2 linked regions of the Tribolium castaneum genome follow. The protein of the gene in region 1 interacts with the protein of each later gene in a pairwise test. Links are inferred from orthologs where the notes say so. Each region holds a gene or a part of one and is shown on either strand. Other genes may lie near its edges.

What was found.
Region 2: the proteins of CycT (region 1) and Cdk9 interact in a two-hybrid assay, tested with the Drosophila melanogaster proteins (2 studies listed by BioGRID). The link is inferred for Tribolium castaneum from reciprocal best matches to the Drosophila melanogaster genes CycT and Cdk9.

Annotation. Positions count from the first base shown.
Region 1 is NC_087396.1:19,989,729-19,992,650, forward strand, and holds the end of CycT (cyclin-T), read right to left. Parts: coding exon 2,220-2,922; 3' UTR 1,776-2,219; coding exon of another isoform or gene 1,698-1,775; 3' UTR 518-1,697; downstream 1-517. UniProt on the Drosophila melanogaster protein: Regulatory subunit of the cyclin-dependent kinase pair (CDK9/cyclin T) complex, also called positive transcription elongation factor B (P-TEFb), which is proposed to facilitate the transition from abortive to production elongation by phosphorylating the CTD (carboxy-terminal domain) of the large subunit of RNA polymerase II (RNAP II).
Region 2 is NC_087394.1:32,585,318-32,589,555, reverse strand, and holds Cdk9 (cyclin-dependent kinase 9), read right to left. Parts: upstream 2,573-4,238; 5' UTR 2,347-2,572; coding exon 2,240-2,346; intron 2,170-2,239; coding exon 2,085-2,169; intron 2,038-2,084; coding exon 1,661-2,037; intron 1,604-1,660; coding exon 1,336-1,603; intron 1,137-1,335; coding exon 843-1,136; 3' UTR 665-842; downstream 1-664.

The sequences.
Region 1 (2,922 bases):
AGAAATGCACAGTTTATCAATAAATTCTAAGAAATTGTTGACGCTTGTAGTAAACACAAAGTGAGGTTAAAAATGGTTCGCTCTTATCAGACTTTTTGCTTTGCATTGTGAAAAAAATTACAGACAAATAATACTGTGTGAATAATCCAATTAGGAAATACAGGCTAAGGTTATACATTACAAAATTAAACAATAGTACACGTATGAAACAATTTAGTTCTTCAATAATAAACAAGTTTCACGTTTCCCGAATTTCTCATAAAAACTTATTTGCTAATATCGTCTAGTCCCCAGGCGTGACTCGCGGGTGGGAATCCCACAAAAAGTGCCAACCTTTGGTAACTTTGGTTATTACCACCAGACACCATTCTAATTTAAACATGAACAAACGCTCATAATTTAATAAATAGTATTTATGCAAGTAGAAAATTATTAACGCATCCAAATGAGCGTATCGATGGTATTGTTAAAGATGTAAAATTGCTTTTTGGGGGATTGGGTGATTCAAACACTTGCGATCGTTTTAAAAACTTTATTGATGACATTGAGACAGTTAGGCATTAGCTTTATTTGTCTATTTTATGTTTGTTGAGAAGTATATTATAAATTTAGTGTCTATTTACTTATTACTTAACACGTTCACCACCTCGAAGTGGAGTAAAATTGAAAATCAACTGCTGTAGAAAGTCTTGCAATGTTTGTATTGTGGAAAACAGACAATAACAGAATGAGTGAATACAATAACAATAACAGTGAAACACAGGCAGCAAACGTGTGGACTATATACATAAGTTATTTTTCGAAGAATTTTTTGTTTTTATATTTTTTTAGATTGTTTAAGCCCGATAAACATTCCAACTAACTTAAAAAGTGGGCGTGAATATTTATTTCCAATGATTTAAGTTTTTTATTTATAATATACGTTTGTAATACAATATAAAATAATGCTCCTAACACACTCGTTTTTCTCATTTTTGTTTAGGTACAAGTTTCCAGAATTGCAGTTTTCGTATATATCGTATATTAATAACAAAATAATAAATACTTATCAAATAAAATTTTAACTATTTACAATTTATCCCTTAAAAATATTAAATTCGTTAAAATATTTGCAAATTTTTGTATACATGACGAATCCAACACATCCTAAGATTTCAGTCCATTGGATCACAAAGTTTTACACTCAACTATGCTAGAATTTTGTTTCTAATCAGTCGGACATAAGCAACAAAACCAAAAGAAGCACAAGAAATACACTGAACATAAAATGTCACACGCATGTTATTGTTCCACATGAGAATGATGTTTAGATGTGGTTACATGAATCACCTAATGACCAAAATGCTGTACAAGACAGTTGGCACTATCTAAATATAACAAGATTTAGGCCGAACTTCCTAACAAGAAAAATCGGGGGGAATAATGGCATGACTGCAATATTTTCGCTCGCAGAAAAGCCGCTTCCACCCGTGATAAAATAAAACTAAACGAATTTCACTTTTGAGTATTTATTAATAACAAAATGAGAGGTCGTACAAAATAATTTAATTAACAAAATAGAGTAACAGTATTGCAATCAGCCATTACATTATATAAACATAAAAAATCTAAAACATTTTTTTCTAAATTAAAAAAAGTTTTCTACTATATACATTAGGCTGATTTTAACACATGATAGTTAACGTTTGTCGCAATTACTACGATGAACTCTTGTTGATATACTTAGATTCGGCCAACCTATGTATGGACGCATCGCCATCACCCAGTTGTGTCACCTGCAAAGCACCAAATAACCATATAATGACCTTGCTAGGTCCAACATTCACACGTAAGCCGGTCACGTTAGTAGTGGACAGAGTTAGTCATGACCATGCAATGAGCGTCACAAAAACAAACAGAAAATGAAAACACATGCACAAACTACACAAGTCACGTCAAAAAAAGAATCTCCTTCATTGTCGACTTATTTATTGAATTAATAAATAAAAGAGTGTGTTAAGACTATAAAAAGTGCTTAAAATTACAAGATAAACTACATAGATACAATTCAACAAAGTAATATCTACCAGAAAAATAACAAAAACACGGTACAATCCTAAGTATAAATCGATAAAAAAATTGCACTCTTATAAATTATTTACAAATTTCTCTAAACCCTTCATATATCACGTCATCTTAACTAGCACGAGGTCCGAAATCGTGTCTCTAAATCGCACACATCACTCCGGGGGCGGTGGGGGCGGTATGTCCGGCGGCGCGTCCATCGGCAGGGGCGGGTTGGACCCTGCCGGGGGCGGCAGCGGCGGCGCCTGCTGATACATTTCCGGCGGCGGAAACGCGTATCCCCCATTATAATAATTGTACATCTGATTCTCGGCCGGATACATATACTGACCCACCCCCATATGCGGCGGATAATAGTACATGTTTTGCGTGTACATCGGCGGCGGCACGCTGTGATAGGTGGACGCGGGGGCGGCGGGGGGCGGAACGACCGCCCCCATCGCACTACTCTTACTATATTCGCTTACCTTATTATACGAATGTCTCCCGTTCTGTTTGGAGTCCTTGCTGCGGGAGAGCTTTGCAGGGGGGCCGCCGTCGGCCGGACTACTGCGATCCCGCTCCCGTTTCCGGCTTTTCTCGCTTTCCGGATTGCAGTTATTGATGATTTCGCGCGGGATCTTGATTTTGAGACCGATTGGTGGCGGCGCCGGCGCTGGATTCTCCTCAGTCTTTATCACGTCTTTCGGGATTTTTATCTTGATAGGGTTCGGCATTTGCTGGATCTTGTCTTTCTGGATCTTGATTTTGATTGGTTCGGCCGCCGGCTCGGCCACCTTCTCTTTGTGCTTGTGCTTCTCCCTGTCTTTATCTTTGTGTTTCTTCTTCTTCTCTTTCTCGTCTTTGCTCTTGTCCTTG
Region 2 (4,238 bases), on another chromosome or scaffold:
AAATTTGGTGACAAGAATTGTTATTTATTGTGTATATACAGAATGTCTTAGATAAATTCAATTTAATGTTAAGTTAATTAAGTGAAGGAGGGGTTAAATTTAACCGCGCCCGAAAATGTAAATATGCCATGATTGATTAATTTCTCGTTTGTTAAGTTTGACGTCCTCCGCAATGTTTTACAATTAAATGTGATTTAATGTGTAATTTGTTGGGCATTCTGTGATATTTGCCTTCAAAATTTTACGGTTTCGTAATCAGTATTCTGAAAGGTCATTGTTATGAGTGGTTCATTTTATTTACCAGTTCTTTTTGCCAAAACTTTCGGTAAGCTCAACTAAATTAGCAACAGAGTTACAATGTTATTGCGTTAATTTAGAACAATTTGAAATGGGTAGGAAACTACATCTAATTAAATGAAGAGAAGACAATGATTATTGAAGTGCCTTGAATGAAGGTTTCTCCTTCAAGAATGTTATTTACCTATGTAGAGGATCTATGAAACAAGCTAACAGATATGTACAGATACATATATATTATTTTACAGATACATGTACAGTGTGCCATGTTGTTGAATTGTAAGGCCGGATGGCAGTGCAGTCAAACCAATAAAATATATAATATGTACTAACAAGTCATTTCATTCCACCCCAAAAAAACACCAAGCGTTTTTACACAGTTTATTCGCTATGTTAACTAAGTAACATCATATTAAACGTTACAAAAAGATAATAAAAAGTAACATCAAATTTTAGGGTTCCCGAAAAACCTTCAGTTATGTTTCCACTTTAGAAACAATTTCCACATTACTTGAAAATAACCACAATGTCCGTGTTTCTTACAACTAAAAAACCCTATCTTGGTATCCGCTGTCTTGCACAGCGGAAGTTGTCGGTCTTGGCAACGAATGATGCCTCATTTGTGTCGGTCTTCTCGGCGGAGCCAAATATTCAAACATGCTTTGAGTGTGAGTGGCTAACATTTTGCTCAAATCGCATGGCATTGGGTCAGTCCAGAAAAAGTCATGGTTGAGGGCCGTATCAGCATCGGCCCGTTTGGCGGGGTCGAGGACCAACAGCTTATCGAGTAAATCACAAGCGTACGGGTCTTTCATGTAGTGCTTCAGCCTCTCTTTCACCTGGAGAAGATTAAAAAATAATAATAATAAAAATAAAATCTGTGATCTTGTTTAATCACATTTTTTCCGAATTTATATGTAAATAATTACGGTTTATAAACTACAGTTCAGAACGTGGTGGAAACATTACCTCGTACAGAGGATTAAATAAATATTCTAGGCTTATAATTGAAGCGATCTTTGTTCCTACGGGACTTACTTTTCGCTTTTGGACGGGGAGTTCCATCTTCTTGTACAACTCCAGATTCTCAACTCCTGGCCAGACCTGGGGGCAGATGGTGCCACAAAGTTGAGAAATCAGAGTGAGCTGTTGTTGCTCGCTGTTGCCCTGCATTATGGGGGACCTTGTCCACATTTCGGCCATAATACAGCCAGCCCCCCACAAATCAACTGGGGGGCCGTAGTTTCTTTCACCTAACAACAGTTCTGGAGGCCTATACCATAACGTAACGACACGATTTGTAAATCTGAAATAGTAGATTACAAACTAGTGACCAATTTTTTAATTTACTGTTTGAACTCACCTATTTGGCAGTCCATTCTTATTGGTACTAAATGCACGAGCTAGGCCAAAATCGGCCAATTTTAAAACACCATTCTTTGTAATTAACACATTGGCGGCTTTCATATCTCTATGAAGAATTTTGTTGCTGTGTATGTAATACAGACCGTTAAATAATTGTTGCACTACTTTTTTTATCTCTCCTAGACTAAACTTAACGTGGACGTTTGACAACAACCCGGCCAAGTCGTGTTCACAAAAATCGAACACTAAATAAAACGTTGACTTGTATCTGTTGCGGTATGCAGCCTTAGTTTGGCATATTTCTATAAGATTAACAACGTTTTCGTGTTTCAATAGTTGCAAAATTCGTATTTCGCGCAAAGCTGTGATTGGAAACTAGAATACAAGTTTGAAAGCTTTGCAAAAAATTAATGACCCCTTACGCCCTCTTTTTCATTGTCCATTAACACTTTTTTCATTGCTACGAATTTCTTAGGATTACTTTTGTCCCTCGCCTTGAACACTTCACTACAATCGGAGAAATACAACAAATGGGGCACAATATGTGACCCCAAGTAACCCCAACTAAGTCACTTACCCGAACGTTCCTTGGCCAATTTTCGCAATTTTCTCGTATTTTTCCGATTCATCACAGAACGGGAAATGGAAATTTTCAATGTATTTCTCTTTATCTCGCATATTCATGATTGCAAAATCGCCTCTTGTCTAACGTTGCACAAGCTTTAGACAAGGCAATATTTAGCACAGTTTTTCGTCAATTAAGAAGAAACGTGTGAAGGTTTAAAACACCACATTTAAAGTACTTAAATGCATTTCCGCTGCTTTTTTCTGAATCACAATTGCACTAAAAACACACACAATCAAAACATAACCTCCAGGAATGACATATGACAATAGACAATGTCACGGAAAAAAAGCGCGGTTGGGTGAGCCTGCTCGCGAATGGTTTTCAGCTCGAAAAATACAGTATTTTATCGAAATTAAAAAAAAATCTACCAAATTGTAACACCAATTGATAACTTTTAGCATTTTGGCACTGCTACCAAAATGTTCTAACTACAAACGCAGTAAACCAACAAATTTATTTATATAATTATTTATTTAAAGAAAATAGGAAATGATAATATCATTATCATTCGTAAAAATTAAGACTTTAGTAATCAATATTAACACTTTTGCGTTCTTAATCATATTTTTTGTTGTGCCTTTTGTTGATTTAAGAAGATTACAGTTTTCTGTTTACGAATAGTACTTAATTTCATTTTGTGAAGAGGTCGCTGATATTCCATGGTCTTGAAGTGTCTTGATGGTACTCTGGGTTCGGAAAAAAGGGAAAAAAGGTACCATGACGTTGTGTTTTGTGTTTGAAACACTATTTTAAGTAAGAGCTTTTCAGATTTTTGAGAACTCTCCGCCGTTATATTCAAGTGTCGTCGAATTGTGAAAATTAATATTTTTCCTTGTCCTTCCTGTTTTCATCTTATTTCCTTCGTTTCCTTCTTTGGAAGAAGCATCTTCGCGTGTAATTTCATCGCAGGAGCAAAAGGTAAGAAGGAATTCCTAAATTAACTTTTTTGAAGACAAGCTAATTTTGGTCTGTGTATTCATTTTTGATACAAAGTGATCCAGAATCAATGTTTCAGTTGGTAGCAGGTTTTGAAGGAGTTGCAACCCTGTAACCGCCAATCGGACAAAAATTGGCTTGACTAATAATATGTTTAAAATGCCTAACAAGACTGTTAAATTGTTGTTAACTGGAAGGGCACCTCAACGGTACTACTTAAAAATAAATAGAATTTCTAACTGATATAAATCTTAAAGAAAGAGAATAATATTGTTTCTCTCCGAAGGATCGATTTATAATTCAATATGAAGGTTTTAATGGTTGAATAATTAATCAGGGAGCTTGCAATTAGCGATCATTCATATTTTGTGCTTATTGGTTTATAATTATTTATCAGTTGATATTATTCTTGAGTTTAATTTTTTTCTGAAAGCTTCTTGTGAGACAGAAACTTGAAGTAAGCTGCCACTTGAATTATACCAAATAAAACATTTCATTTTTCTTAAAATAACTACGTATCCAAATCCTCCTTGCGGCGTGCTGGGGGAATGAAAACCAACAGCTTAATGTTAAACATTTTATTTCTTTGTCTGAATGTGTCAAATACAGTGATATAATATTGTTAGATTAAATCCACATCCACATTTATAGTTAAGTAAAAAATATTACATACGAAACAATAACCGAAAATATTATGTTTAAAATGAATCGTAATAATTACACACATAGTTCGATGATTATACTATTGTACAACCCTACAACAAACATCTATACATTTGAAATTAGCGTAAATTCCTCCGCAGTTGGCTCTGCGGTGGTATTTACATTCTTTACGTAATGAGGGTGGTCAGTTGAAGGGATGAGAAGGATCAGTTTTGTGATTTTATTGGCAGTGGGCCGTAGAGGGTTAATGGTTGAGAGTGGTCTTTATAGGTGTAGACTATATTGCGCTAAAACAACCCAAGAGTGGGTCTTGCAAAATAGTCCACAGCCATAAGTGGGGCGAAACGAA